Linked DNA regions of Struthio camelus. The protein of the gene in region 1 interacts with the protein of each later gene in a biochemical or structural test. Links are inferred from orthologs where the notes say so. Each region holds a gene or a part of one and is shown on either strand. Other genes may lie near its edges. The genes, in order: MYOD1 and CSRP3.

Region 1 (16,580 bases):
AAAATCCCTTGCAGAAAGCCTCAAACGTGCGTTTAGTTAGAGGCTCTTTCCTGCCTTAGCGAAGCAGCTTGGGTCCGCGAGCGGCTGGTGTGCCGTGGTGCCCAGCTTCTGCCCCGCTCTGCCTGTCGGTGCCACGTGCGGGATTCCGATTTTTTTTAAATCAGCGTTTCTTCATGTGCCCCGTCCTGCTAAATTATTTGAATATTGAACCTGAGGCTGTGTGTGTGATTTGGTGATTTCAAGCTATGGGTGCGTGGAGCACTAGCTGCGCTGTTTCACTGGCCCCAGCTCGACTGCTCTTTGTCTCGTAGGGTCAGCCCTCGATGCCTAAATACAGCTTTAGGAGCCGATTTTAAGAGCCGAGTTGGTAAATGTTGGGCCAGTCTTGTATCTGTTCCTCAGCTCTGCTTTTGCTCCCTTGTTACCGTCTGAACTGCAGCTCTGAATCCAAACGTCTCTGGCTCTGAAGCATTTGCAATCCAGACGGACTGGGATGTCCTTCTGTCAGTAACGTGCCGTCCTCATGGTGCACAGGGGAGTATAGTAACTTCAGCCATTTGTTTTTAATAGATTACCTTAGAAATAGACAGCAAGAAATTGCACATGGAAGGGCACGCGTTTTCCTTATTTAAGTTTAAAAATAAGTGTAGCCGTAATCTAACCGTGTATTTCTCGGCACTGATGCCCTTTGGCCTTGCTCCAGTGGATTTTTCTCACTGACCTCAACGGGAAAAAGATGGGTTCTGCATAGTAAATGTATGAATATTTTCTTCTTCTTTATCCACCCATCTATTCTGGGATGTGCTAAATGCTTGTTCTCTGTTGTAACATTAACATCAGTATGTGGAAACTTGGGTTGCTAAAATAAATCAGTGAAATGCAATATACATGACTTCACGAGGAACTGCATGTACATTGTTGAGCGCAAACGCCCCGAGCGCCCACGGTGCTGTGCCAGCCTTCCGGCAAGGGACTTCGTCGTGTCCTGCAGAAGTGGGGTGCTCTAGTGAGTCAGGCGCAAGCTTTGTGCCACCTGTGCGTATGCAGAGAGAAAAGTGTACAGTATTTCACAAAAGCATCTTTTGCATTGGGGCCCGATTAAGTTTTTGCTGGAGGCAATGAAAACTTTGTTGTTAATTTGTGAGGGCGTTGACTTGCGAGGCTCCAACAGTCTGTATTTAGTTTTTGGAAGTCAGTGATTTGACTCAGTCAAACTAATGCGGGCATTTTTCTGACCTTAGTAGAGATGCTCCTGATTCACACTAGAATGAATTGGCACACTCTTGAGTTCATTTAATTTTTACTTTTAACTGAAAAATTGAAGGGGTAACTCAACCTGTGTTGCCTGGACTGTGTTTCTGCCCACAGTGAAACCTGCAGGAGACCCCTGAGAGAATCCCTTTACAGCACCTGACTTCGATGCAGGCGCTGAGGGGCAGCCCCTGCCCCAGAAACCCCTCCGATGTGTGGGCGCCGGGCCTGCGCCTCCGCACAGATTCGGTGTTGGCAGCGGTCCCAAACGCCCGCGACGAGGGAGGAACCCCCCCGGCTGCTGCCTTCCTGCCGCTCCGACCTCAGGGAAAGCAGCAAGCTCCCGGCACGCCGTTACTGCTGGACTGCGGAGAAGCAACCGCGTTGCTCTGTCCAACACAAGGCCGCTCGTGCCTCTCCGGGGAGCGCTGATCCAAGTCTGAAGGAGTGGAAGACATTCCCATGGAATTAGCTGTTCCCTCTTTCTTTTTTTCCTGCTTAAGAGGTAAGAGTAGCAGAAATGCCCTCTTTAATAATCAGCTAGGAGAGAATATAACGACTGATCTGTCACCAACGTATTTAGAGCTGATGATGTTTTTTTTTTTTTTTTTACTGTGATGTTTAAACAAAAGCCATAAATCACAGTGACGTGAAAGCAATGGGTTGTTTCATACCGGGCTGTAGCTGCTAGTTATTCTTGTCCAAATGTGCAGATAGGCCCTCATGGTTACTTATCAATGACAATCTGTTCAGGGCTTAACATTTTTCAATTTCATGGCAAGCTTGCAAGGTTACACGTATATATACACTGAATGAAACATAGCCCCCTGGTTATTTTTAGAAAGGCTCCAAACAAGAAGCAAATCCCTGGAGTAGTGTTGCCAGAGATGGGGAAAGTTCAAATCCAAATTAAAGCTTCCTATCTTTGGCCTAAGTTCCAATCTGAACTTTAGGAAAACTGAGATCTATACCTTGAACTTTATGACACAAAATCCCATGTAATTATTTTCAGTTACCTGAGAATGTATGAACATGGTACATCCACTTGAAAATTAGATCTTGAATGGAAAATATGGACTTACATATAAGAGTGCAGTATCTGATCTTGTAAGAGTGTGTAGCTGCGAGGAATTTGGAGATTCTCATTTACTATGATTCCTAGTTCGTGTATAGTCTTAAGAGCTCAAGTCCTACAATGTATTCATAACCTTTGAGGGGCAAGAAGAACCTGCTTATTTACCATGCAGAGCTACGTAATAATGCCCTCAGATGTTTAACATTCAGTTCAGAAAGGGTACCAAAATACGATATAAAGAAAATACACCCTTTTTCAGCAAAGTATTTATGCAAAGAAATGGAAAGTAGCACAACTGAAGCATGGGCTTGATTCTTTGCTGAATCAGAGCCTGTACCTTCTTCCTGCCAAGGCAGCGATCTTAGCACCACTCCTAAACGCGCAAGTAATTCTAGAAGCTCTAATGAAAGTCAAGATAACTCCATGGATTTTATAAATAAGGGTCTTTATTTAGAATACTGTTGAAAACATTCTTGGCAACCACATGGTATAAATATATAAAGTTAAAGTTTTGCACGACAAACCAAGCAACATTAAATATTTTTTTTTTTTTAACTTTTTTCTTATTTTTTTTTTGCAAAGCAACTCTTATTTACAATTATACAAAAAGTTTTATAAAAGTGGTCCACAACCTTATTTTGGCCAGAACAGGGGTAATAGAAAGCATGTGTCATGCCTTTACTCCAGAGACTTGTAGCTTTCTTTTCTCCCCTGCTTTCAACAGCGAGGTTCCTATTCCTCAAAAGCCCAGATTAAATGTTGGCCATTTCATGGTATGCAATTTTATCTCCAGACACATTAAATAACTTGAGTTTAACAACCAATAAATAACTAGATGTATTTTGAAGTAATACAGGTTTGAAGAGTTATGTACTTGAAGGAATTTTGAGAGATTTTAGGACTGGAACAAGAAGTCTTGAGAAGTCTTTTCAGTCTTACAAGGCAGGTCTTGGAGCTTTACTGCATGTAACAGTTTGTTTTCACTGCAGTCCAGCTGGACTTGCCTTTATAGCACTTGGTAGATAGGGTTGCTGCTGTTATCCTGGGGAAGCGGGGTGCAGTTGGTGGGGGAAGGAATTTGGACTCCACTCTCATTCAGGTTGGCTCCTTCGGAGGGGGAACAGGGACTCCCTTCAGCAACGCTTTCCACTGCGGGCAGGACTGGACATGTGGAGTTATCTGTGGAAATCCTCTCCACAATGCTTGAGAGGCAATCAAGGCTAGAAACAACAGAACTCTTCCCATGCTTTGGATCTAAAGACAGACAGAAGAGGTGATCAATTTAGTCAATGGGTATTTAATGTCAGTAGGCTGTAGTTTTTTCAGAGAACCCCAACCAGTGGCTGACAGGGCATATCTGTGAGCATATTAAGATTGAGGAAAGGAATATTGGTGAAAGATGCCAGTTATCAGAAAACAGAGACTATAATTTGCAGAATGGGAAAAAAGGCCCAACTGAGGTATGATACTTTTCAAGAGGATGGGTGCAGGGCTTCACTTCAGTCCATAGAAAGGGAATGGAAGATTTGAATTCAATTGGCAATTTCTCCATGGTTTGGATCAGTGATATCCGGTTGGAACAATCCTTATGCAAAATGTAGTTAAACTCTGAAAACTGTTGGAATATATTCCAATATGTTTTTATCCAGACACTATGTTTGCAAAGTAGGAAATGCCACTATACTATATTCCCATATTTGCAAAGGCATCTAGAGGGAAATGCTATACATGTACTAGCATCGACAGCTCGCTGGCTGAAAAGCCCAGCCGGAGTCTGCTAAACAACCGGGGACAGAGAAGGCACAGGCAAGTCTGCTGCGCTGACCGTCTCTACCCCTATGTTTCACGTTGCCGTTACTGCAAATACTCACCATTTGGTGATTCCGTGTAGTAGCTGTTGTCGTAGCTGTTTCTTCTGCGGGAGTTGCAAGGAGGCCCACTGTATTCCATCTGGAAAGGAGAGAAATCTGCGTGAGATCACCAGTGGGGGGACAGCATTTTCCTCAAATATTTCCTCCCCAGTAACTATTTAACTTCACACTTCAGACCCTAGTCTGTGCCATAGCTCTCTAGTCCTGGCTGAAACACCACCAAGTTTTAGTTTTTTTGAATGAGGCAGAGCTTAACTTTGCTAGGAAGAAATTCCCCCCAGAATGTATTATGTGGCATAGTTATTTTAAAGGAAAATTACCATTGTTGTAACTAATGTACTAATGCTGTAGCTTTTCAAATGAAGTGAAGTCTTCCAGCGTTCTAATCAGAGGTTGCCCTTCGAATTGCAGCAGGGAGACCAAGGGGGGAAAAGTCTTTTTTCAGTTTAATTTCTGAAGACTTTTCCAAGCATGAATTCCTTTAAAAAACCCACTAGTCCACCTTTGTGCCTTTTTATTTCCTTTGGTTTCTCTCCCCACTATTACTTTGTATAGAGAAAAAAAAGCAAGCATTCTGACCAGTATTTTTGTTTCTGGTACTTCCACCCACAGTTACATGGCTCTTACCGAGAGGAGAAAAAAGGCTGTATTTTGAGGAGGGATCAGTTGTGTAAATTTTCTCCCCGATCTGCCAGCTATCTCACAATCCCAGATATTCAGCTCAGTAATAATTATCCCCACCAGAGAACATAGCCAACTCAGGAAGTCTTAAAAGTGCTCTTGTGGTTCTCATCTCAGCTATCCTGTACTCCAGTCACCACATCCCACCATCCTCGAGTCAGGCCACGGAGTCTAAAACTATAGTCCCAAGAAAGAAATTAGGTGACGAGACACCCTCTCTGGCACTCGCTCTTCTTCTCCCCTCTCCCCATAATGCACAAACAGAGGTGAAAGCCTGGGGTCTCCTTCCTGTTGCTGGTAAATGTCTTGAGGGGGGAGAACCTTTTTCATAACGGTCAAGAAAAGCAACTCCTGTTGCTCAGACCGTGCTCCTCTTATCAGGACTAATGTCAGAAAAGAAAACCCAGACTTAGCAGTTCCCCTGTGAGTTTTCCCCTGCAGTTATCATGGCAGGGGGGACCTCCCTCACAGCTGTCCCTAGGGGACGCAGGGCTAAGGGTACAGGAGATGGAAACGGAGATGCCCCGGGAGCGCGGGCAGGACTCGCACCTCTCGGCGCTCCCGGCGCCCTTCCCAGAGCGGTCCCCCAGCAGCTTTCCCCGGGACCCAGGGAAACCTGCCCAACTTCTCATCCCCAGGAAGGAGCGCCTGAGAGACTTCTCCCTTCTCTTCCAGGGGCGCTGGCGTGGGGGGACCCCACCGCCCTTGGCCGCCGGAGGTGGAGGCGCAGAAGGGGACTTTGTCCGCCGGCGGGGGCACTCACCATGCCATCGGAGCAGTTGGAGCGGGGGCTGGAGGCGTCCGACTCGCCGCTGTAGTGCTCCAGCACCGGGTAGTAGGCGTCCTCCTGCTCGCGCAGCAGCGCCTGCAGGCTCTCGATGTAGCGGATGGCGTTGCGGAGGATCTCCACCTTGGGCAGGCGCTGGTTGGGGTTGGTGGAGGTGCAGCGCTTGAGGGTCTCGAAGGCCTCGTTGACCTTGCTGAGGCGCCGCCGCTCCCTCATGGTGGCCGCCTTGCGGCGGTCGGCGTTGGTGGTCTTCCTCTTGCAGGCCTTGCAGGCCCAGAGCAGGCAGCGGCCGGCCTGGTGGTGCCCGCTGGGCGCCCGCACGTGCTCCTCCTCGTGCGGGTGCCCGTGGTGGTGCCCGTGGTGGTGCGGGTGCTCCTCGGGCTTCAGCAGGCCCCCGACGTGCACCAGCCGCGGGTCCAGGTCCTCGAAGAAGTGCATGTCCGACGTGTTGAAGCAGGGGTCGTCGTAGAAGTCGTCGGCGGCCGAGAAGGAGCAGAGGGAGCCCTCCGTCATCTCCATGGGGCCCAGTAAGTCCATGGGGGCGGCGGCGGCGCCGCCCGGGGCCGAGGGCGGGAAAGCGCGCTCGGGCCGTTGACGGCCGTTGACGGCCGGTGGCGGCGCGCGCGGCGCGGAGCGGAGCCCCGCGGCTCCCCTCTGCCAGGCGAGGCCACCAGCGCTGCCGCCGCCCGCCCCTCCGCCGCCGCGCCGCGCCGGTCCGGCAGCGCCGCTCGGGGCCGTATTTATGCCGGAGCCCCCCGGGCGGCGCGGCGCGGCGGGACGGGGCGGGGCGGGGAGGGGGCCGCGGCTCCCCCCCCCCCCCCATCCCGGGGGCCGGGCGGTGTCAAACGCGTGTGGTTTTAACGCCCCGCCGCCCGCCCCTCGGTGCAGGCAGGCGCGGCGAGAGCGGGCGGCGGCCGCCGGGGGGCGCTGGGCCCCGCGGTCGGTGCGCCCGTCGGCGAGGCCCGTCGAGGCCCGCTTTCCCCGGGCGTTAACGGACTTAGACCGTCGCGTTTGCTCCGCGGCCCGGGAAGAGACGGAGGCTGGCTGAGGTGGTGACGGCCCGGGTTGCTTGCGCGGTAAGGGTGCGTTGTTTTCAGGTAACTCGGCGATGGCAGAGCCGCGGCCCTAGAGACACGGGACGTGTTTTGGGGGGGTGGGGGGGGGGTAACGTCTCTCAGGTCTTGCTAGAGTGTTTGCGCTGTTTTGGGAATATCGCTCGAGCCGAGAAATTGAGCTCTTTTTGTGGTGTGGAAGCACTCCAGCAATTCAGCTGCGTGATTTCATTAACTTAATGATTAAAATAGTTACGGGTGTTTTTATCTGCCATGGGCTAAGATTAATCTCCACTCTGCCCTTACAGAGGCTGCTGAAAATCTGACTTATTTAAAATCGAAGGCAAAGCTCTGGCCTCAATGGGCTAAAGGGCAGCTTAGAAGGGTCTGTAAAGGTAAAATATCAACTGGTGACCTAGTCCTCAGTTCCTGCGCCTGTGACTTTTCAGACGGGTCATTGTAACGGTGTGTTCATTGCTAGTTACGTGATTTGGTTTCCCAGTCTGCAGTCCCCGTGGTCTACTTGCTTACACGTCTTCACGTACAGGCAGAGATAACTGTTAGTCACGTCCTATCGTTACTCCCCAAAGATCAAATTTTTATTTAAAGGAAAAAGTAGATATTTTGGACTCTGTACAACTTTGTTGTTTCACCGTATCCAATGCTGAAAAGTGATACGTCCCAATGAGATCAGCTATTGACCACCCTAACACACTGAGAAGTGTATCTGCCAGCTGCTCTGAGAGGCAGAGTAGCAACCTTGTGGAAACCCTCCGCTGTTGTTACAGAGGTTTCTTTGATCCAGAAGGAATGAACAGCTTTTGCTGTTCTGAAAAATCTCTCCTGAACAGCTAAAACACCGTAAAAACAATTTGTATTGAAAATAATACAGTAATGCATATTAAGTATAAGTGAGAAATAGTTATATGCTATAACAGCTAAACGCGTACATTGGGTATCAAGGCTTGGTTTTGGCGCTGGCCACGTTACTTGGCTCAAGACACTTCATCTCTCTGTAGCTTACTTGTTTCATTTGTGGAAAAGGTAATTCTACGTGATGTTTACACAGCATTGTAGGATATTCTGCCACTTTAAGTGTGTTTCTAGATTATACTTGACCCCAGAAAAAGGCATTCTGGGACTTGTGCAAATAATGGTTACCTTGGGCAAAGCAGTAACAAAGGCTGGGACTTGGACAAGTGATACACAAAGACTTCAAGTAACTGCCAATGCAATGCAGTCTAGCGCTTGCACGCTCTAGGGAGTCTCTTCTTTCAACCTGTGGCAGCATGCATGTGTCCCAAGACATGGGTTAGTAAAAGCATATCTCGGTTTGTCACCTAGGTGAAAAAGTCAGGAGAGAGAGCCATGACCAGATGGTATAGTTTGCATGGAGTGTTCTTCTACTGAAGGTGCCTTTGAAGACTCATCCCCCACGGTCGCTACCAAAACCAACATTCACTTTCCAGTATTCTTCCCAAAGATGGATTGGTCCAGAAAGAGGCTGCATTGTATTGTGAGTCTGAGAGTCTTTGCAAAGAACAAAACCCACAGGTGTTCTTCTCAACTTAGGGTGGCCATAGTGGAGAGGATGAAGGACAGCATGGTCTTCCCCTAGGTATTTTAATGAATTCCTCATTTTGAGACTAGGCAACAGCAAGGGCCCCATTTGTGCAGCCTTAGATCGTGCTTATGGCGGAATTTAGAAACATGCTACTGTTAAGTGTCTGTCTGGAAGCCACTGTGGCTGTTACTCATCATTTCAGTAGAGATTAGGTCTCTCCAAAGCTTTTGATTTGGATGCTCTATTTCAGTACTGGTGTTTCTATGGCTCTTCTAAGCCTCCCAGATCCTGGATCTGGATGGATTGGGCATTGCTGTGGAATTACACCTGCAGGGGTGTGCATATGAGCACGCATTCAGCAGAGGAAGCAGATTCTTATGGTTACTTTAAATGGTGCTATATACCTGTTGCACGTTTCGTCCTTCATCTCCTTTTTTTTTCAGGGTGTAGTGGAAAGGAAGCTGAGACGGGGGAAGCAGATTGTACTGCTTATGCTGAGGAGCATACATGGACACTCATCCTATACACGATGTACAGGTATTGTTAACAAAGTCCCTGAGGTCACATGCGTGAGCATGTGCACACCCTCAGCAGAAGCAGCATATGCACAAAAAGAACTTCGGTTATCTATAGTAATTGATTTAATTCTCTTTTTCAGAGGATGAAGATTGGGAAAATAACTGATTGGGAGTTTCTCTACCTGAAATTAACAGAATTCTTTCTGTAGGCAGAGGGCCCAGAAGGTGTTTTGGAAAAGTGAGAAACAAAGGACTTAAAATTCTGAGAACGTGCCAACACATTTTGCCACAAAGATGAAGACCAGAGGAGTGGATCTCTGAGAAACTTGCTGCTTCTTTCTCCCTGAAATATTGCCACGTATGTAAGTTGTGCACTGTAAAGTTTAAACATTGGACTTCTGTTAAGGTAAAGAGAGAGGGTCTAAGTGCTGGAAACTGTGGAAGAAGCTATACCTATATTTCAGAAGGTTAAGAACTGTCAAAGTAGAAGATTGTTGTAGAAACAGTAGTAATACTTGAAGGGTTTTTATGACACTAGTTTATTATTCAATGAGTATTTTTGCTCCATTCATACTTAATGAGCTATATTTTAATACTGAGGATGGATTCCATTGCTCTTATTCATGTTGAGTTAGAGTCAGGGAAACTAATTGTTGAATAAGGTATGCTCAGCATGCGGATGGGTGTTGCAATCTAGCCCAGATGGAAATATCTTTTAAACTACTGCCAGTCATCCCAACATAGGCAAATCCAGTATGTTGCTGGAAGTGCTTCAAACCATTCATGTAGCACATTGCAGTAATTTTTTTTTTTTTAAAAAGGAGCATAGAGGGGAAGTTTCAATGTGATTTCCTCCCTCCCCACCCGTCACCATAAAGCTGAATCATTAACAGAAAGGGATTGGGAAAACATCTGAATTGTAGTTGTCTGTCCTGTGTTACAACATCAGCAGAAAGTAGGTGGGCTAATGTGGCTTTACAGAAATAGGTACTTAATGCTACCGTGTGTAGAAGTCAAAATTGACTTAGTGTTTCCTTGTGCAGTGTTTTTACCTTAATGCAGTTTTCCAATATGTTTGTTTTCATTTTGTGGTGTATATTTCTATCTTGTGTAACTTTCTTGGGGGCAGATAGACTCTGGCACAGTTTTGTCAATAGGCAAAGTCTCTTGGAGAAGAACATTAGCATGCATATTTGGAAAACTTAAAAATTTGCATCTGCATTATTTCTTACATTGAACTGAATTTATTTTCAAATTTAACAACAGAAACATTGATTACAGTATTACATAAAAGTTGGGGTTTGTTCCACTGAAAGATTAACTCAAATTGCCTAAAAGCTGTGGTATATACCGACTTAAGAACCTAGTTCCAGGCAGCTGATTTAGCCAGTTGCTCTTCCTAGGTGACCTTGTTAGTCAATGTAGAGAAGGAGAGGCATTCCTGTAGGAGCTGACTGGAAGGAATTTAGACTCCTCTGAACTTTAACCCAGCTGGCTAAAGTGAAGGCTTTAAGTTTGGCAGTGTGAATGCCCCCCTCAACTGAAATGCAAAAATGAATGAGAGGCTGCTTTCTGTAGTGCAATTTTAGCTGCGCATGCTGCACTTTCCCAAGGATGTTATTCACCTACCTGGGGCCAAGATAGGGAATACAGAAAATCAGCAGTAGTACCATACTTTATCCAGCTGAAACAGGGATTTGTGTGATAATTAAAATAACTGTCCTAGGCTATGTCTGGGCAAGTCCCTAGAGCTAGGGCCTTTGGGGACACTTGTAAAATAAAACCGGTGAAAACCACATCTAATGAGAACCCCTAATTTACATCTCATCCTCTTTTTGAGGATTAGAAAAGGCAACAAGGCAAGTAACTGCAGTGAAAAACAGCACATTGTCCTGTTCCCACATTGAGAAAAAGTTAGTATCCTTCATATTGAAGGCATATACAACAAGAAATAGCTGGGTTATAGGTAAATGAATTTACTTAGTTATTGAAATTGATACTATGATAGAAAGAAAACAAGAAATCCACCTTGTTTTAAAACAAGTCTTTTAAAGAGTTCATAATGTTACCATACTAATGTAAAATATTTAATATAAAACTTAATCTTTGGATTTTTTCCCACATAGAAGTTACCTTGTACTAAAGTTTTCTTTCTTTTTTTTTTTATAAAAGTTCTATACACTGTTAAAAATAATTGGCATTAACTAATACTAACAGTCATTTAAGCCAGAGGAGAGGCCTAAAGGCTTTTAGTTTCTACACTGAAGCATCTTTTACGGTAAGAATTGCATAGATGAAAGTGTAATTGATGCAAACAATCTGGGGAACTAGCAATCTCACTATGATTTAAACAATGGTATGGGCTAGACTTTGAGCTGCGGCTCATCAGAGGATGAGGGCCAAGGTATGAAGAAGGGGGAGTGATACAGGAGTAACCAATTGCATCTCCTGAGTGCTGGTCTCAAGGCCACCCTCCATAAAGATCTGCCTTAGGAGCTGCTCCATAGCTGTAGCAGTCCTAGTGTTACAGTCCCTCCCTGCCCTGCTTCACTTTTGCTCCTGTCCCATCATTGCACTGTGGCACTGCAGCAGTGCAATATACAGTTGCATATATTGGCCCTATGCCATTCCTGTGCTGGGAGGATTCTCTCTGGGGGCGCTTCAGACCCTCTGCAGCTCCTGTGCATTGCTGGAGAGGAGGGCAGGGGCTACTGCGCTGACTAGGCTCTGGCTCTATGCCTGTTCTTAGCTCTTTCTGGAGCCGGTCCATGAAGTAATCGCCAAGACTGTTTCTGCCATCTTGGGAACAGTCAAGCCTGCGAGCATTGGTCAGAAGATCTCCCATCAGCTTGATCTTCCGGATTTTGGGCTCAATGAACTGTTTCTTGATAGTGCTTGCACTGTGAGGGTCTGCGTTTTCAAGGCTCAGGGCATAAAGCTCTTCAAAATACCGTGTCATAGTTTTCCACTGGATCATTGCTAATTCCAGGGCTTTCATCAGACTGACTGCGTACTCACAGTTTGGTTTCTAGAAGCAAAGATAGTTACAATTATTAATAAGAGCAGCTCATCTTACCATATTCGTTGCTATTTTCCTGCAACTTAACTGACCTTCTAAACAAAACGTGCTAGGATTTTCCAAGAGCTCCTTCTAGTGTGGAGCGTCTGTTATTTTTTGCTGAGTTAGATGGCTGTAAACATACAGAAGTGCCAGAACCCACAAATCCTTGTTTCAAGGAACAAGATTTAAATAGCAGTAGCTATGCCTGATAAATATTCTTAAATGAGAAAAACCTATCCGTATAGATGCAAACTCAATATTTTAAAAAGTTGCTCAAGATGGCCTTTTTATTTTTACTTTTTCCAGCTCAACAAATGCTATGATAGGCCAAGGAACAGCAAGATGATATATTTAACTCTTTACATAATAGCTTATATAATGGATAATACATATAGATAGTTTATATAGTACATATAAATAGTTTATATAATACATAATAGTTTGCCAGAGAAGAATCCGCCCTATAATCTTCTACAAGGGAGGGTTTTTTTTTTTTTAAATTAAAAACTGATAACTGAGTTACTCCTTCATACCTGTGCAAGCCCGAGTCAAATCGATTCAAATTCTGTCTTTGGCTATGTTCTAACAGATGAGCTACTGCTCCCAGCTGGATGTTTCTCCCACCTCCTTCCTTACCCCTTTCAGATGCCAATGACTTTATTTTGTTTCAGTGGGAAGGCAGACAAGTTGGCTGATTTAGCACTGAAACAGTTTAAGGAGACCCACATAATCCATTACAGCACACTGGAAACAGCAGTCTCCAGCTGAGTGGAAGAAAAAAGGGACCATTGTTCATATCCTTTTTGGCCAGACCAGCAATCATATGGAGTTAGGACTGCATGTCTGACAGTTTTCTAGGCATCAATCAGGAACAAAAGCATGTTAACTAATATAATAGGGAAATTATATCTGAAAAATCTAATAGTGGTTGAATACTGAGAGTTCTGAGGCACCAACTATATAATGCAGGAGTCTAGAGTAATTATTGCTAATTGCAAGAGACTACAAGTTGCTTGCTACACACCTGGATGGTTTTAGAACAGTAGTGGCCTCCTCTTTCTTGCTGATACTTCATCAAAGCTTCTGCAGCTTTTCTCTCCTCCATGGCTTGATGCAGGAAGAACTTTGAAACATTTGGTAGGGCCACATGGGACTGATCAAAAAATTCACCCTAAGCAAACAAAATTCAACCAGAGTGTTAAAGTTTGTTGAAGACAGAACTTGCAGCAGAACACAGCTGTATCAGAACTCAGGGAGGAGACATTTCCAATGGAACTCGTTCTACCACCTTAATCACTTTGAAGGTCTTCCTCCAAACTTCTGCAATAAATGAAGTCATTACTGTCCTAAATCGAAAAAACCTCTATACTTCTACTAGAACGCTTTCTGCCTTTTAAGACTGGGCAGGAGACTATTACTGATGGTTTTTTTTCATTAGCAGTCACAGATTCTAGCCAGATACTGCTTATGAGATTTGCATTTAGGAAAGAAAAATAGCTAGAGGCACATATCCAGATCCTCCACCACCATTACCGAAAGCATCAAAATCAGCAACATTCTTCCCTTCTAGGTATTGGAACTGGTAAGGGCCTGATCCTATTATTTATTTTTCATTAAATAAGCATAGTCCAGCTTCTTGCTGATGGAGCCAAGAGTACAGAGAACATAGGATTTATCCCTTCAGGTCAACATTCCATTGAAAAGTTAGCTTCTAAAGGTATGAGAAAGATGAGGCAAACACCAAAGGAGACCAAGAACAATTTTGCACCAGTTTTCAGTTCCTTTATGGATAATGCTATTCCAATAGAGAAAATATTAAAGGTGTACACAGTATAGTTCAGTAGCAATACATAGCTTATGCCTAAGACGACTTCAAAAAGTATTAAAATCCTAAACCTACTGTAGCCCTTGTTCTATTTTTCTATATGGGAAAGTAACAACTTTCATCAATGTAAGATTAAACTGTGCTCATTGATCTGTCAGCCCATCTGTTGAATTAATTTTATGCATGGAGTGGCAGGCTGATCCCTAGCTCCTTGCCTGCACGGTGGAAGACAGAATAAAGAGAATGTACTAGAGAGACAGATAGCAATGGAAGGCCACCAGGTTGCCCAGAGAGGTTCAACATTGGCTCTGCACTACTTTGATATCAAAGACAGTGAGAGGCAGCAGCTGGGAATATGCCAAGAGTAGAATTGAGGGAGCTACAATATATCAATCTACTGGTTCCCTAAACAGGCATAGGCAGTATAGCACAGCCTTTGCCTCTGGACTGGATTGCTGCATATTAAACTCCTGGCTTGTCGCCTGTCCAGGGGGGTAAAGAACAAGTACGTGCATTTCATAAGCGTTTCTACTTCTGGCTGTTCTCCCTTCTTTCATTATTATTGTGAACAAATACAAAATACTTGAGTTTCATCTATGTCGCTCATCTGCTAAGAAAGCGTAAAAGAGTTATATACACCATATGATGTGTTTATGTTTTGATGACCATCCGGGATGCCCCAAAGCTGTGGCACACATATGTGTAACCATGCGCCATTCAAGAGGAAGTACATACTGCAATGTTCATTGAGAATATTCAATGCTATATTTGCATGGTCTTTTTCCTAGAGTCATTAATTCATATCTCTACTGACAGAAGAGTCAAGGCTGAGTGTTTTGTAACCAGTTGCTCAGTGCGAGTGTGCTGCAGGACTGCAAGAACCCAAGACACTACACCTGCATAGCTGTTAAGGTAAGTCTTTTATAAAGATCATTAACTACTTCTAAGACAGCCACAGTCCATTTCTAGTGGAACTTTCTCCATCCAGCCCAACTACCAATCAGCAGTGGTATTTCAGTCTGCACGCTTAACAGGTTGAGGTTTCACCACATACTTAATTTTTACTGCACTAATACCATACACTAAGCTCAATCAGAGGATCTTGGTTATACGCTTGAGTATAGTTTGCCTTGACTCTCAACAGAGGCTCAGCTTCAGAGGGGATGGCACCGATGATCCTGTTTCTTGATTTTGTGTTTTTGTTAAAACATATGCAGCCTTAAATATTTGATAAGCAGCCAAAGCCAATAAACTTGCCATTGTGCTACATATTTCCTTTTTAAATCCCCACGATGCTCCTGCCTGCTGCTCAGCCTCCCCCCGCACAGGGCGCCCATGGGAAGGCGCCCCCACAGGCTTTCCTCAGTTAACCACGCAAGGCTATTTCAGGTATAAAGTTTGCGGGGGAAACAACAACAACAACAACAAGAAGAGAAGAGGCCAAAGCCCGAACGCCAAGGTGTTAGGCTGCAAAGCCGCTGGCAGCCCCTCTCCCCGCCCCTCTCCGCCGCCGCCCGCCGCTTACCAGCGCCTGGAGGCAGTAGGAGAGCTCGAGCAGGGCGCCGGTGACGCCGCAGAGGCCTTCCTCCACGGCGGGCGGGAAGCTCTGCCTCACGCGGCTGCCGGGCAGCGGGCGGTGCGCCGGGCAGGCGGGCAGCGTCCCGCGGGGCCGCTTGGAGCGCGGCTCGGCCATGGCGGCGGCCGCTGGAGCCGGGCGGCCCGGCCGCGGGCGGCGCCTCATATAGCAGCGGGCACCTGGCCACGCACCTTGCCGCCGGGCCGGGCCGGGCCGGGCCGCCCCCGCCCCGCGCCCCGCCCCCCGCCCCCGGCCCCCGGCCGCGCCACGGCGGCGGGGCGAGGCCAGGCGGGCGCCGCCATTTCGCGGTGCCCGCGGGCGGCAGCCGTTAACGGCCGGGGCCCGGGAGAGGGGCGAGCCGCGGGCGCGGGCGTCAGCAGCCCGGAAGCACCCGTTCCTGGCCTTTTCGGCTGCTCTGCTCTGTCCCGCACGGTGACAGCTGCAGCTCGGCAGCTGTGGCCCGGCGTCTACCTGGAACAGAGTCGAGGTAGCGAGGTGGAAGCGTGACTGATCTCAGCACCTTTCAGATTCGATAATTTTCTGCTCAGTGACTTTCTGTTTAGTAAGCTTAACGTTACACGTTGCTCTACGGAATGTTTTTCTGGCAAATCACCCCACTGCCCCACAGATCCGCTGCTGGGTGTTCTAATCTCCGTTCCGTTGCACGTTCTAATTGTTATTGGATGTGACTACCTAGGGCAAAGCACCCGTAATCTGAGAGCAGTCACATAAAATGTGAGAAAATTGCTCATCTTAAACATACGTATTTCTAGTTTAATGCCTCCATCTGCTACGATATTCAGCCCTCTTTGTCTGCTTTAATTTTCCGTTTTCATTTGCCTCTGATTGTTCACGTTGTAGTTAAGTGAAGTGAAGAGTTTCAGCAAATAAAATCTAGACCAGTATGTGAAGTTCCCACTTTAAAAAAAAAACCAAAAAGCATCTTCAGTAAAACTGCACATGAGTAAAGTTAAATGTGTCTATAAGTGTGCAGGGCTAAAGTACCTAAATTCATAAACTTAATACATTTGTTAGACAATTCAACTGTGTACGACCTTGTTCTGTAAGTCCTTTTTAGTCAGGGCACTAGAGACTTCTGCTGGAAAGATGTATTTCTAACAGTTATGTTTTAGTTGCTTCCAATCCAACTATCTTGATTTTAGACAGTAAAATAGTTATTAGCGTTTAGCTGCAACAGAATGATTCGTTGAGTGCCTCAGAAAAGGATGAGCACGTGTGACGTGTGTATATGTACGTATCATTGACATCCTGATACAAATGGACTCCTCAATGACCTCCTTTTGGTATATACTCCAGGG
Region 2 (16,653 bases), about 12 Mb from region 1:
ATTTGCATCCTTCGCAAGCCCACACTGTGACAACATACAGCCCAAGTTTCATGTTGCAGCCTTTACCATGTGCTAATGTGACTGGAATTAAAAGTATGAATTCAAAAGTACTGAATAAAATAACCACTGAAGAAGGAAACAATCACATAGCTAAGGAAGATCCAAGAAAATCTTTGACAGCTAACGAAAAACAAACTGTAAAACCTGAATCTACATCACAGAAGTGCCTTAAAAGATCACAAGCATTACAAGAGAATAGTCTGATTAAAAGGTGTAGGAGTGATGACAAAAGCCTTGATACTTCTCCGGTAAGTTAAGTTATTTTTTTAAATCCCATTTTATAGCTTAATGATGGTGCCACCTACTCTTCAATGTCATTTAGGATCCTATCAGATGATCTAAAATTTGTAAATTCTTTGTAAAGCCTGACTAGGGAGTAATCTTGTAAACACTTAATACTTTAGTTGACTTTAAGAGCATTTGTGCTACAGACTTGCAGAAACTTTACAATATGAAACAACATTTCATGTTGGCATTTGAGAACACATGTTCTTGTACCTTGGAAGAACAATTTTGGATGGTATGAAAACAGATAAAAGACAAAACTGAACTGTCTGCTGTTGCTTGTTGATGCAAATGTTTTGGTATTTTGAATAACATTACACTTGAAGAGATGACTGATTTGTTGAGCTTGCTCATGCTTGTTGTTTTTGTTTATTTGGTTTTTTTATAGTGAACATCACATAATCTTTGCTGGTATTTGCAAAGCACCTGGCAGAATATACAGTATAATGCAAATCTTTGAAAGGCTAACCTAGAATCAGGCTGTATTTTTCTTCTTTCCCACTCCAAATTTTTATTTCAGAAAAGATGTCTCAGTGGGTTCTGAGGTTAGTCAAAACATAACAACCTCTCCCCAAAACATTATCACGAGACTTAGCTGGGTATCAGGATATTTATGCATTCATTCTGTGGTAGTTCAGGTACAGAGGGGCTAGCAGCCACTCTTAGCTTTAATGGTGTTCGGAGGGAAAGTGGACATATAGAAGTTGATGGATGCAACGTCCCAAAATTCTGGTACCTTCTGAATATTTTTATCCAGTGTTGTAGGCAGCCAGTGTTAGGCTGTCGTAGTCTTAATAATAAGGTGTAGGAAGAGAATAAGACTGGAGAAACTGGGCCTGGTTTACTTTCCACCCCTCCCTCTCAGCACTGGGCTCAGTTGCTGACTGTTTTGTTGTACCTGCAAATTATTAGGCCGCTTTAAATTGTGCGTGGCAAAACAACCATGACACGTTATCGGTGCGTGCTGTGACAATGTCAATGGCATTAAACATCCACTAGCTGCAAAGGAGCAAGAGGGGATAACATAGAAGCAGTTGTCTGTACTTGTAACTGCAAATCTTTATAGCACAAACTTGAGAATCAGGAGAAAAGAGAAAGTTTGTTTTCTAGATTGTGTGCACAGAGAATTGTCATAGAAATGTAGCTTTTCTGACAGCCAGAAGTATTTACCTTTGTAATCTTAACTTTTTAAATGTATAAATGTTATTGTAGACATGTAATTGAGGTTGTAAAGTCTGTCTTTTACAATATCTGCCTATGTTTTTATGTACTTTTTTTTTTAAAGGGAGAATCCATTAAAAAGGAAAAACCACCTTCTAGTGGTTTGCAGATGAATGATGAAATGGACAATTTCCAGGAAGAGAGACAAAACAAAGCTGAAAAATTAGATCAAAATGTAGCAAGTTGCTGTGACCAGTGTAAGAGAGAAGGTATTCCAGAAGATGAGGACAGAAGCAAAACTAAACAAGAAATACCTGTAGCATTTGCCATTCCTGCTCATGAGGTAAACTTTCTGTCAGCATATCCTACCATTGCCGGAAAAATGCCGCTTTTAAGAGAGCTCTTTGCCAAAGAAACAAAAGTATAAAAGCTACATGTCTATGGATTAATTTTGGTTGAATTATTTTTCAGTGTGCTTTTCAAATCTTACTTACTGGAGGACTCTTCTATTTTGCATTAAGTACACAAATAAGAGGAAATGAACTGACTGGAATGAAGACGGTAACCAAGACTCACTAGATAAAGGCAGTGTTGAGATTCCATACCTTCCCAGTCCTTTGTTTGCACATATATAGTTTCAAATACTTTCATTTTCAACAGAACCACATAAAGCTTTTTATATTTTAGTAAAATTTAGTATTCTGCAATTTGACTTACTGCTGTGAAGAACTTGATTAAAGAACATTTTTGCCGACAAATACAGAACTTGTAAATGCAAATGGGCTGTCTTCCAGGATTTCTCTCACGAAAACGCAATGCAAGATTGAGGTGACATGATGATTACTGGGTCCAGATGTTTCTTTTGTTAGAAAAAAGTATTCGGTATCGAGACTTCTCTTGTGTCTGGTCTAATTGTAACGTGTTAATCTGGGATGGATTTCCAGCCCCTTACTGAGGATGTCAGCTGGGAATAGAGCCAGCTGACTTCTGCAGTGTGTGGCAGTCTTATTTTAAGAAGTGCTGCTTTAAGTCATCTGTGTCTAACTTCAAGCAGAAGGTAGTACAGGGCATGGAATATAGGATCCTGCGGATACAGAGGATAAAGAATTAAGGGCAAGACAACAGAAATGCAACTCTGGGGAAGGTTGCTTATTACATCTTTGAGTACAAGTGGTTGTCTTTCTTTTCCAGACTTTTTTTCCATCTGGCTATCTTATTCCTCTTCCTCAATGCACCCACCATGGCAACAAGGCAGGCTTTTCTAACAAAGAGAAAGCTGGAATATGTTCATTACAGCACACCACCTACAGCTCACCCATTGCTGGTGAGTATTAAATGAAATATACATCTAATTCTCTGGCTTGAAGGACTGTGGGCTAGACTTACCCTACTGAGGTCAAGATATCACACTGCATTGGTTTGAGCCTGAATTTTTTAATTAAAAAAATAATTATTTTAATCTTTTAATTTTTCATCTTTAGGTGTGATTCCAGTGACAGCATCTGAACTGAAAGCAGTTAACATTCCTGCTTTTCATATAACACCCTTGAATATAATGGTATCACCAACTTCTATAGCTGCTGCGCCTGTACTGAGTAACTCCTGTCTCAATTCAAGCAACACAAATTCTGCCCAGAATCCAAGTTCTTCAGTTCTGAACTTTACACTGCAACATTTAGGACTAATACCTACTGGTGTGCAAGTTCCCACAAATCCTGTTCTTCAGCACACGCCCGTCTCTTCAAAACCAGAAAATGTTAGCCATAGCTCAGAAAACATGAATTTGAAAGAAGAGAAGGTAAGTAAAAATATATTGCAACTTCCTGACCATGAGTTAAGTGGGAAATACAGTGCGGTAACGCCTTCACAACAGGTAAAAACTCTCAAAATTGTTTCCATCTTACTTTTTATTTATAATTCAGCACTGCCCCCAAAAAGCTGGAGTAACAGGCAATGAAGGCTAGCTTATGTGGAAGTGGAGCCAGTTTGGAGGAGTTGAAGGATGATAGGATGTGAAGAGACAACTGTCTTAAAGGCAAAATTTTGTATAGATTTAAGATGACACTTATTTACAAATTCTCCATTTGTTACTTCATCTTTCTTTCTCGTTACTCTCCTAACTTATTCTCAAGGTCTTGCATTTCACGTTGTCTTTTTTAATAGAACAGACTTAGTAGAGGATTTAAAAAAAAATTCCACAGGAAATCTGCATATTTATGTGATATTATATATTGCCTCAGATATGTTTGTACTAAAAAAAGGAGACAGGAGGGGATTACAGAAACAGATTTTCATTTTTAACTTTTATATATATTTATAAAAATATATAAATACACACACATATGCACAAAATATACACATATGTATAAATAAAAATAGATCTACTCTTCTCAGTAAAGAACTGTTAGGTTTTTAAATTTCAAAAAAATATGGAAACTTAAAGCTAGAATTCACTTTTTTAAAATGAAAGTAACTTTCTCTCTTTCTCATGTTTTTAGCTAAGTGTTCCAAAGGAACCCCAAGAGCTCCAAACAGTGAAAGAAAACTTTTTCCGCACACCAGGAGGGCCAAACACAGTATCTTCATCTTCTGGAAATTCAGATGGTACTGATGGAATTTCTCAAGGAACCTTGTATATTCCTCAAAGGAAACTTGAAGTGTCAGAAGACTAATTTTGGGATATCGTGTTGCTGAATGTGTTAGCAGGCATAATTACTGATAACACGCTGCATGCATCTTGGATTGCATGATGGACAGTGTTTGTTTTGGACATGTATTGGCAAGACCTCAATACTGGAATAGCCTTAATTAATGCTTTAGAATTAAAAGCAGCTCTTAATGAGAAAGTTAATGTCTAATAATTTTTTGAAAAGGCTTACCTAAACTATCATAGCAACCAAGTTATGTATCTAATGTTTTCTGTGTTGCTTTTCTGCTATGCAAAGTAAGCTGAAATTAACTTTGTACAGAAAGGTACAGTCTATCACTCAGTACATATTTTGCACAAAAAAAGTACTGTGAGCATGTATATATTTTATGTCTTAACAAAAAGGCCATAGTTACAATTTCTTTTGTGCCTATGTTCAATAATGCTCTTTTGTAAAGTTAGTAAAAACAACAAAAAAATGAAATCTTAATCAAGTTTATGTAAGTTAAGAATTATTTATACTGTATTTTTAATCAATTTGTTCAGATTAAACTTACATCAAACTGTCAAATTTTGACAGTTTTTTGTTTAATCAAATTAAATTACCAGCGTTAAGTAATACATTGTACATTCACTGGAATCTCTTCAATTTTTTGGCCAGACAAGGATATCTCTATGTTCTGAAGAAAGAGAAAATAGTATTTCATCAGCAATAGATTTAAATTAAAGTAACTAGATTAGACTTTCTGACTTATCACTAGAGATTACATCTACTAATACCAATGAGTAGAGGAAGAGATTATTTATGAGGTTTGGAATTTAAAGTAACCTTGTCACCCTAGAGCCTTCTGCAAAATGCAGTCCAAATGTCACAAAACCAAGACTGCACATAGTTTATATAGTTACATACAGCTTGAAACTAATCGACCACTTCAGTAACAATTGAAGTTGAACGAGTTGTGAATCCCGCTTCCCAGCAAGCACAGGGCAGACCAAATAACAAACACAAAGACCCCCTGCCTTGCCTCTGTTCTCCTATTAAACACGGAATTTTTGAGCCAGATGCAAGCTCCAGCTGGCGCATCTACCAGATTATACCACTAAAAGTGTGGAGATTCTCTTGACGCTGCTCAGGCTTCAAGTCTACAGTAAAGTTGTCAAAATCTTTGTCCTAAGGTTTATAACACTGTTTGTGACCAAAATCACACATGCAGTTATTGAAGCAATGTCATTCAGTGTCCCAAACACTGTAAAGTCTTGCAGACGCAAGAAATGCCACAGCTGTCTTGGACATCGACATGCCCTTTCCTGGGGCTTCACTGATGCCCTTGTACAGGAGAAAGGTGTTGGAATAAATTGCAGCAGGCACGAAATTTCATTCAAATTCAAATTTGATCTCTGGAAAGTCAGAGAGTGACTACCAAGCATTTTTATTCTATTCTTTTATAGAGGTGAGTTAGGTAATTATGTGGAATTGACTAATGTTCTAGTTTGCCTCAAAAGTAACAAATAATCAGAGAAAAGGAACTTCTAGCATTATGAATACATTATTTTACAGAAAAAAACATAATTGTTTCATAAAGAAATACATAATTCAAAGCCTTCTCCCTCCCTTCTTTACTCAAATTCCTCTATTCATTAAATGATAATGTGATTTTTCTGCAGGAGAACGCCTGAGGCAAAACTTCAGTTAAAGCTGCACTTCTATTTTCAGTCCACTTTCTGTTTTAAACTCTATTACCTACCCTAATGGAAGGTCAAAGTGTAAGACTCTCATTTATCTGTCATAAGAGCCTGCTGCTGGAGAAGCCATAAGACTTCTGCTCCATGAAATGTCCGTACTCTGATTAACCATAGTCTACCTGGATCAGCTGTGAAGCAGGAGCTCATACCAGCTGTATGCGTGGCTTTGTACGTGGGTGTGTGGTGGTGGTGGTTTTGGGGGGGGGGGTTGCTGTTCTCTTTTACTGTGCTTTACAGGTGGAAGAGTGAACATTTTAACTTAAACCTTCAATGATGAGGGAAGGAAGAGGGGAGGAGGAAAGCCTCATAGAAACAAGGGTCTGGCTTCAGCTGAGAGGCAGTACTGGCAGTTTCTGCTTTCTAGCTGTAAGACCAATGTCGGCTTCCGAGTGTTGTTTCTCCCCTGTTGCAATTTCACATTAAACAGGTTAAAGTTAAACCAGCTGAATTTAAATTCAGATTACAGTCTCCTATGCTGAAGGAGCAATGATGAAGCCTCGTACAGCTCACGTTCAACTTAGATGACCGAGAGTAACCAATAAATTAAAGAAAAATCCTGAGTATGCACCTTCCCACGTGAAACGTGCCTGTCTATATCCAAATTAGGACTGGAGAAAGGCTTCATAGACTACTAAAGCAAAGCCCAAGATTCAGACTTGAACTGAGCGTGAAACAGTTTAGTCTTACTGTTAACTGTTTTAATTAACTGCCTTACTTTTCAGAAATACAAAATTATTTGTATAATACAAAATAGATCTGACAGAATTGGATAACTATTAAAATGCTGCTGCATGAGGGGAAAAAGAGTAAAAGCTGGGAAACGGAGAAATTCTCACTGCAGCAGTGAGTAGACTTTTTTTTCTTCTAAGTGATAATTACTCAGAGATTTACCTTCCTCACACCTTCTTCTGTGAATTTTACTCTAGTCAGACCAAAGGCAAAGATTTATAGAAACTTCTTGAATTATGCAGAGGAAACAAACTTCAGAACTTTCATTTCTGGACATTGCAGCAGGCAGAATAAGAAGCCATAATAATTAGATTTTTGAAAAAGGGTCTGGCCACAAATTCTATGCTCTGTTGTGAAAGGCTGAATGTATATCCCAACTTACTCTCGAGTGTCCCTTAGCTCCTGTCAAAATACAGTTGCTTTCTCATGCAGGCTTTATAATAACCAGCCCTTTACTTCATTCTTGTTCATGTTGCAGGCTGAAATGCTACCTTTTCTCTCCTCAAAGTATTGAATTCCTCAGAAGACTCAGCTTTCACTCTGATTTAGCTGAGGTTTCTGCTCTTCCCACCTGTCTAATCTATTCTTAAACGTGACCCGACTACTGGATTTACTCTGTTGCCAAACTCTAGGAAAGTTCCTCTGATCTTCAGGCTAGCTTCATTTTTGATATGCTGTGTTCCAGTTCTCCAAGCAGTACTTTTAATCCCTACCTTTGATTTACAGAAAACATTACACTCCTGCACCACAAGGAATGTGAAAATTAATGCATCTGTGCACTCCAATTGCATATTTCAAGTCTGCTTCTTCAATTTCAAGTCCTGATAACCACAGTGGACCGGGGATTATATGAAATTCACAGCACACAATAAGCATTCAACTGGTCCTTTCACCTATAAGGAACCTGTAAATAAGATTCACCTCCTTATAGCGGGGATACAGTATCCATGATAGCACAGTAGTACAGAAATGAAGCTACAACCAATACCAGGAATCTAAAGGCTCTACCCTGCCTTTATCTCTTAACTTCTCTGACAAAAGGAAAACAATTACTGAAGTTCTGGGGAAAAAAATCTTTCTCCACAGATTTCCCTGCCACTTCCATAACCAGTTGGTTATGGTACAGATCCATCCAAATATATGTTCTAACTAGCCTAATCATCATGTGCTAATCATCAGCTGATGATAAGAGCGAAGATCAATGAAGATTAAGCTCTCGAGAGCATCCAGGCTCCCAACTTCCAGCTGAGCAGGGGCACAAACAGAAAGTGGTTATCAACCTGCTAGTGCTTTCCTGTAGCCTAGTGGCAAGCTCAGTCATGCCCCAGTCCTTCCTCTCGACCATCTTATTGGAGATGTTCATACCATACACATCTGCAGCTGCCACCGCACCATTTAGCCTTATTTAACGTAAGCAAGAGAGTTCCATGAACCACCCAGGAAGAATGAATGAGAAGAAATGGGGTCCAAGACTCTTCTGCTCAATAAAAATTAGGCCTCTAACCTTACATTAGAAACCTTTGCTGGACTCCATAGTCAAGAGATGTTAGACTCTTAAGACTTAATTTTCAAATTAGCCTCAGTGAATGGGCCCCTAAAATCCTGAAATTTCACATACATTTGGCATCTAATTTCCTTACACTCCCATGAAAGTCCCAGAGTTGAGACCTTCACTATCAGTCTTCAGTTTGTAACCCCTAAGTTCTAGGTGATTGGCCCTTTCACTCCTCCCAAAATCCATGAAGAATGAAGTTTCTAAATTCAGAAGTCCCTCCAAAGATGAGAATTACCCTCAATCTTTAAAGCACTTAAAAATAAACAAACAATAATCTCTGTAAAGAAATGAACTTTAAGCGCTTTACACTTTAGCCCATCTCTAAAATGGTTGCAATATCACGCATTTGCAAGGGGCTCAGCAAGGTTTCGTAATTGCTTATAGATGCTATGATTAAACGTGCCAAACTCTACACGTATTAGCTACCTGTCTTAATGCTTAAAAAAAGTACAAAATTAAAAATTAGAGTGACAAGCATAAGTCGCCATAGTCTAAGACTTCTAGCAGATATCAACCATTTGTAGCTATCAAGTTATGAACTACTTAACTAAATAAAATTCTATTTGGTTTAAGACTGTTGAGTCCCAGAGGTTCTTACAATGAGTTATTGATTATTTTTATAATTATTTTGTTAGATTATTTTTGGCAATGATGTCATCATATATTACTAAATCCTCATTTCAGGAACCATTATTTTATGATTCATGCTTAAGCAATTTAATCGCAATTCTAAAATTTCACTCTTTATTTGATCTGTTGGAGGGCTTTTAAGAATGCCTTTAGGTGTAATCGGAGGGGCTGCATTGTTGTCCACCTACTCACGAGTGGACGTAAGGGAACAAAATGCCAGGCTTCTGTCAGATGTTATTTTCAGCTCAGTGATAGCAATGGCATTGCTCAGATCCCTGAAGCAACCTCTCCCAGCTCCCTCCCCTCCCAGCTCATAGGGCCAGCAGTGGTGGCCGCTGCATTTAAAGAGTGCAGGAAGGCTTCAAGTTAAACTCTGTCAGAGGCCAAAGAAAATAGGAAGAAACATCAGCCTGCTCTGGTAAGTGTAGTACATGGGGTTCTGCAAGACTGTTTGATATACGGATTTGGGTTTTTTTATTTTTTCCCCCCCAAAGCTAGTAGAAACAGCTTATTGCTTGACTAAGAAAAATGTGCAGGTATAGCACAGAAATGGGAGTCCTATAGAGCTGACAGCAGTATTTTAGGTTTGCAGTAGCTAACTGAAAAGAAAGATTCTTCTGGGCTTCTAGGCCTTTACGGTAGCTATTAGTGTTACAAGAACGGGGCTGTGGAGGGTCTCATCTCTGAGACAGGCATTTTTACCACATGCAAGACTGGATAGCATAGAAATTGTGGAAGTGTTTAGAAATTTTGTTACAAAGCTGAAGAATGACTTCTTCCACAGATACTCTATCTTAATATACGAGCTTGCTAAAGTATACAAAGTTATATGCTTTCAGAAGTTCTCAGTAAGAGAGTCAAAGCATTCTGAAACAAAAAAGTCACTAAATATTTAATGTCTAATTGGTTTTATATTAAACCAGAAGGACATTTCTACATAACCTCCACCTCCAACAGAAAAATCACAAATAAAAATGCAAGATGACAGAATTCACATGCTCATCACTCAAGCGTTAAAAGGTAGCATGACTGGCCAAGTCTTTAGGAAAAAAAATAGCTAAAAAAAAATAATTATCTGCTTCAAAAAGTTTTCTGTCTAAAGATAAAACTGTTTCAAAGAATGCAAAGAATGAAGCCTTGCACGTACTTAAAAGAATTCTGAGTCTGATCTCAATCATCCCGGCAATATTTCAAAGTCCATAAGAGTTTTGTTTGGGACTAGAGGACTTAAGACAAGGATAAGGGTGTAAAGAAAGATATTGTGGAAGGAAAAGCTGAAGTTGATAGCACAGGATAAGGTCTGAGGAAAGAAACAGATCATTTGGACAGCAGGATGTAGTTTCCCACAGCCTTGTGAAGAAAACTGAACTTTGTGTTTGAGGGAAGGGTGCTTTTTTAAAGTCAGAACTAAGTATCTGGTTCTAGTGTCAGCGTATCACATCTTTTGGAAACGTCATCTTAAATTTCTGCAAAGGTGTTCACCAAAGAAGTTTTAATAGAAATGCGTCATTACCATGCCAGAAAATAAGACAGTAGTGGGAAGGATACATAGTGACAAAAGCAAAAGATTCAGAGGCAGCACTGAGTTCTCCTGTCAGCTTTGCCCCTCACTTGCTTCTTATCAAGACACTTAAAATCTTCTGTTTCGAAAGGACTAGTGTAACTTAACATAACCAGTGTCAGTCAAAATCAGTATTTATTTTTCTGTGTCATTGTGGAAAATCCTGTCTCTTGACCCCTATGTGCTGGTTTACTGCAGAAATATAGAAAAAAATTGCTATGCGGCATGAGGATAAAAGTAATACACTGACTAATTCATAAACCCAAACTTGTATTTGTATCCATAGCCCACTAAATGTATATGACCATAAGAAATATCACTATAAATACATAACCATGTTGTATAAATGAGCTCACTCTTCAAATGCAATCATTTTCTCTATTGTATAACTATTCTGCTGAGAAATGATGCTTTCTGCAATGGATTAGATTTCGACCAAAACACCTTCAGGCTTTTTGAGATGCAGTGACAGGAACTATGCTTTGCACTGCAGAAACATCAAAATTAAACGTGACATAGTGAGAAAGAGAAAGAAACCATAGCAGTATTTAATTGATACTTTAAAACAGAATTGGAGTGTGTTAAAATTATTTTTAAGTCAAACACAGCTTTTGCCAATGAGGAATACCACACTTTACACTAAAACTGACAGGAAAAAAACATTAAATAACCTAGAAACATCTGGAAGTATTAATCTTCTTCAAAAGACACTATAGGCAAATATTCTAGGGCATCAAAAATAACAGCAAGGGCAATTGAATCTCAAGACACTTGCCTGGCACCACCAAATATAAGGCAAGACCTATGGGAGATCCAGGCTCTCTGGAGTGACAGCTGAGGATAAGGCAGGATACCTGACAATGTTGAATATGGTGCAAGATACCTATGTTTACACAGCCAGATACCACTCTATTTCTTCCATTAAAGCTATTGAAAGTTCTCTGTAAAGGAAGCTATGTAGTGTTATCCCTGGGGTGCTGGTGAAGGAGTAAGACTAAGGAAGGTTGAACGAGTCAGAGAGTCACATGACAGGTCAGCAGTAGAGCTGTGATTAGATATCAGGAATAAAATCCTGACTGCATTGACATCTCCCACAGACTTCAACTGGGGCCACAATTTCTAATTTCTAGTCTCAAAACTCCCATTTCAATAGTGACAGTCATTTAATTTGATACTATTGCTTATTACAAAAGGAAACAATCTTCTCATGCTTTTAACAGACTATAGACTGAACAGTCAGCTAGGACTAAAAATAGAGATGCAAAGCACATCTTATCCAAGTCCTTCTGGTTCAGCATTTCTACCATCACAGGATTCAGTGACCATAAAGACCTACATTTCCCATTCTGCTTATCCACTTGAAAGTCATCGTATACTACATTTGGTGCTCTGAGATACCCTTTCCAGCCAAACAATAAGTGATTTCTGCATTTTCTATACATACGACTTGAGTTCTAGACCATCAAACACATAAGCATTTAGAATGAAAAAACTAGTGTTTAGGAAAAAAAACACCAGCATTTTTTTAACAACTTTTTCACCAGCATTGCACTACCTAGCACTATGTTTATCTCTTTTAAAACCACTCTATGAAACCACATAAAGCCAGTACTGCACCCACTTCCCATTTAGATCAATGGATATATTTTTGGACTATATCCTTATCAATAGTACTCTAATTAGAATGACACAAACCTCTATGACAGTTATGTGAATATAGCAGCTTTATATCCCAATTTCTATAGTAAGACGAATAGCCCAGTAGAACACGCTTTCTTGCGGCTGTGCAGAGCACAAACACCTCAAAAGCTTCTTTACTCTGAAGCTAGGCTATCTAGCAGTGTTATGAGCGCTAAATAAAGCGAAGCACGTATCCCTGGCTGCACATCTGATGCCTATAAATTCTACTCCACTTAATAGCTGCATTTTGAAATGAAGCAATATGAGCTGCCGAATACTACTGAAGCAAGTCCAAGAATGCTTCTCCAGCTTAGCAGTACCATAAATGCACACCAGCATTTGGCATTGCTAATATTCAAAAGTTCCTCTATCATGTGTAATATACATAGAATGGTCTCACTCTACTTCCCACCAGATCACCAAATCTCTGGAGAGGTGACCAAGCAAGAACACAGACCACGGACTTGTCCTAGTACCTCAGCCAGCTGTTGAGCCAGCCAGCGCAGGCATCATGGCATACGTTGCCATTCTTAGGCCAGTATCCTCATGAGAACGTTTTTACTGTGACTTCTTTCTCCTACAGCTTCCCATCAGGTGATGGCAAAAAACATGGAAAATGTGTATGCATGCCCAGTCACGTTACTATAATTAGCCTCAGGAGCAATAGTTCTTTTAAGAGCTCTAACCACTGCCTGTAACAGCACAATGTTCACTATCAAACATTATCAGACTTTTTCAGAGCTAGTATTTTTTTCCTTCAGCTAATGATGTAATTAGAGCTAGTTTTAAACAAGTACCCTGTTGCCACACTTAAAGAGACTTTGCGCATCCTTAAGGGGACCTAAAACTGCGGAAGAAGTGCTGCACCCACTGCAGCTTGAAGCCAGCTGCTTGCCTGGCAGCCAGCTACGGGTGCTACTCCAGCTGGTGCAGGACTTCACTGGAAATCCACACCAGGCTCTCACAAGAAACACTCAGCACTTTCCCTGGGCAGATAGTTGTGACAGTTCAGGAGATGCTGTATTGAATTAAGGCTTAAGTTCCATACCAAAAATCAGTGAAAATACTGGCTTCAGAGGAATCACCCCGTTGAACTCCAAAGGCAGGAACATACTAAAAATGTTAATGAACCAATTTTGTTTCAGTTGAAGTTGGTCAGGCTTTCTCTCAATTTCAAGGGGAATACGGCGAGTGCAAACCTCTTCAGGAAAGCATCATAAAACTAACTTTTATCTCCCATTGCTCTTTCTTCTCTTAAAAGATTTGAAGCATTGCTTTAATTATTTTCAGAAGAGAAAAAATGGCACCAATACCGAAATATTTGAAAAAAGCACAGAGGAGAAAATATAAAATGGCAGAATAAGACATTAAGATTTTACCTAAATGAAAGATTTATTCCTGTGCCTTCATCTCTCTTCCAAAAGAAATTTAAGAAAGACTTTAACAGTGCTTTTCAATAAAGTGTTTACTGAGTAAGAGGGAGCAACTTTATAGCTTGCTCTTGCATGCAATCATTTTCATTTCTACTTATTTCAGCCACATCAGATTTTTGCTTTTCACTCATTACATTGCAGATAAATAGAGTTAGAGGCAAGCTGAGTCTTCTTCCATGTCTGCATCATTACACTTTCCTAAGTGTCAGAATAGCTTCTCCTCAACAGCCTCCCAAGAGAACCGTCAGCGTCAGAGAGATTAATGATACAGTTGCTTTATGACAGCGGAGGACTGGACTGAGCTAGGGAAGCTGGTTCAGCTAAGCATAAAGCTTCTCCACAAAGAGAAAGAGGTACTATCTTGTATTAGGATGACAGGTATACTGTCTAATGCAGGTAACACTCACAACAGTGAATATGTGTGTGATTAAATGGGCTTAAAGATAGACTCATCACCAGAGTACTAACGTGGATATGTTTGGATACACTAATAACTGGATTGTTATCAAACACCGATTGTTAAAACATGCCTGTGTTGCTGTATCTTCAGTACTATTGCTTCAGCATGAGCACACACTCCTAAGCTGCTGTCCCATTTTCCTTTTTATGAACAGATAAGGCTTTTATTTCAATTTTCAGCACTAGTGACCAGAAAGAACTCTGCTCAATTTCAGGTTAAGCTTGCAGAGCTGGCATGTAGAAAGTATTCACTTTCCTTCTGAAATTCTGCAGATTTGGTACAGAAGTCACTGAGATGATGACAAATAAGGGACATTACAGTGTCTAATGTATAGTCCTGGTAAACTTTAGGCTAAAGTTCAACCCATTTAAAATAAAAGCTGTATTACATCACTACCGTGATAAATTTCCCTCTCTCTCGCCTGACATTAGAAAAAAATTCTCAGGTAGTAAGCTTCATTCAGTGTTCAAAATCCTTTCCTTACTTCAGGATATCTCATGGTGAACTTAACCAAGTAAAAACAGAACAAGCTGGCTTCTAAAGAACTATAATAAGAAAGTGACTGACTTTCCAAGAAGGATAAGAAAGGTCTGAGCCAGGAGCTTGGAACAAGCTGATAATACGATGTGCAGATGACAAGATGACATTCCAGCCTTTCCAGAAATGATGACTCAAACAACAAGAAAACAGAAGGGCAAACTGCTGGCGCTGTGGTTGTTTCAGCTGCATGATAGCATGGTCATCAGGAAGGGCAATGAGCCTGCAGTCAGGTGACCCCAGTTCAGCTCCTGGCTCTTCCACTACCCTCTTATGTGACCTTGGGCAACTCACTTCAACTAATAGTAACTGAAATAGTAAGCACTATTCTTCACTTTTTCCTCAGATGTTTATATTTTAAGCACACCTGACAAACATGCCTTAAGCACCTTAGGAAATTATCTGTTATTACCTCATAATGGTTGTGTAGCACAGTGATCTTGCGGCTGTTTTACGAGGAATTCAGAAAAGCAACAACTTGCTTTTATTAAAGCGTCCTCTGAAAAAATATGGTACGTTTGTTTAAGAACAAGGTGAAATTCTTCAGGTGTGAATTGTATAATATGACATCATACTCATACAGAAAACTGTCTTTACACACGTCACTGAGGATGAACCAGCACTTCCTGTAGAGAGCTGTAAATAGTAGAATAGGGTGCCTCTTGACAGACAGTCTTAGAATATTGTACTGTAGAAAAATTAATGCCAAATTCTGCTCACAGTTTTGCTTTTAAAATTCCACTGAAGTTTCAAAGCATTTGAAAGCCTCCATTAGATTTTGCGTCACAACACAAAACCAAAAACTTCAAATGAAAGCAAAAAATCGAGGGGAAAAGGCTGGGATACAGGAGAGGGCAGGACTGAGAGTAAACGGTTATCACTGGAAAATATATCCTAGAGCTGCTTCTCCAGAAGAGGTCAGAATGACCCTGTCACCTTTTTATTGAAACACTCCACATTCATCTAATGCATTTACCATCACAGGACAATGAACACTAAGGAGTATCCTTATTTACAAAGGAAGGTCACACAGGCCACAGGATTGAAACCGGGGCCTGTTCAACACCAGGCTAGTACCCTCACTGCTAGATTAGTCTGCTGCGCTGCACAGTCCCAGCAACAGGGAAGACTCTAGCCCCCTTTCCTCAGGGCTGCCAGTCACACAGAGGAGAAGAGGTCTTGAAGTTACTGTTTCATCTCTCTGCTACCAGAGAGCCCACAAGTACTTTGGTGCAATTCACACAAGCAGATCCTGGCCTGGGGACACCCTGCAATAGCCATTGCAGGGTGCTATTGTTGCACCCTGTGTAGCAGCTGGCTAGAGGAAAATTAAGCTGTTCTGTTTAAAATAATTCACTTCTGCTATCAGATTAACTTCTGTAATTTGATATTCTAGGTTACACTTCATATATAAGGATGCCGAACTGGGGAGGTGGAGCCAAATGTGGTGCCTGTGAGAAGACAGTGTATCATGCTGAGGAAATTCAGTGCAATGGAAGGAGTTTCCACAAGACATGCTTCCTCTGCAGTAAGCTGGGCTACACTGTTTTAACTTCACAACATCTCCATAGCTTCATACAAATCTTATTTTAAAGCTAGTAAATTTACTTTTGTGCTACTTTGCTTCCAAGCAGAAAAACAATAAAGAAGCTTAATAGTTTCTTTAATTCAAAGTGTTTGCTCATCGTACATCTACAGTGGGTCCTAAAAGCCATTGAGGATCTAAGCAATATACAGCGGAAACACCTAGTATCATGCCAAGTTTGACACAGGGACAGTTTCATGAGATATATACATCTTACGTCCAGGAAAGCTCAAAAAGCAAAACAGTCCCACTTTAATCATCCTACTTAAGTACAACACAATAAGACTGATTGTGGTACAGGAGTCTCTAGAAACCTTAAGAGTCATAAGAGGCCGAAGAAAAGATTCTGAACATATGTGTGTCACATATACAGCTTTCAACCTGGGAGGAGGAAAAAAAAGCTTACCAAGCTAGTTTGCTGAACTGCAGTTTGTTTAAACTGAATTTCGTTAGAAAGTCAGTTTTGAGGGAATATGCTCTTCTGGAAAGCTGATTAGTTAACTCCCAGAGGCAACATCCACTAAAGATGAAACTTGTTTCCCAACCTTTCAGTAACTGAAGGAATGAAAATGACCATATCTGTTTTG

Evidence for each region.
Region 2: the proteins of MYOD1 (region 1) and CSRP3 form a complex in vitro, tested with the Homo sapiens proteins (2 studies listed by BioGRID and IntAct, with this or other methods). The link is inferred for Struthio camelus from reciprocal best matches to the Homo sapiens genes MYOD1 and CSRP3.

The regions. Positions count from the first base shown.
Region 1 is NC_090946.1:20,183,024-20,199,603, forward strand, and holds MYOD1 (myoblast determination protein 1), read right to left. Parts: upstream 6,376-16,580; 5' UTR 6,203-6,375; coding exon 5,642-6,202; intron 4,277-5,641; coding exon 4,198-4,276; intron 3,581-4,197; coding exon 3,333-3,580; 3' UTR 2,414-3,332; downstream 1-2,413. Other genes in the region: ferritin light chain, read right to left, coding at 11,324-11,827, 12,885-13,031, 15,211-15,426. UniProt on the Homo sapiens protein: Acts as a transcriptional activator that promotes transcription of muscle-specific target genes and plays a role in muscle differentiation. Together with MYF5 and MYOG, co-occupies muscle-specific gene promoter core region during myogenesis.
Region 2 is NC_090946.1:32,060,749-32,077,401, forward strand, and holds the start of CSRP3 (cysteine and glycine-rich protein 3), read left to right. Parts: upstream 1-9,057; 5' UTR 9,058-9,228; intron 9,229-12,466; exon of another isoform or gene 12,467-12,645; intron 12,646-15,877; 5' UTR 15,878-15,897; coding exon 15,898-16,009; intron 16,010-16,653. Other genes in the region: transcription factor E2F8, read left to right, coding at 1-308, 1,631-1,849, 2,698-2,830, 2,988-3,304, 4,005-4,178. UniProt on the Homo sapiens protein: Positive regulator of myogenesis. Acts as a cofactor for myogenic bHLH transcription factors such as MYOD1, and probably MYOG and MYF6.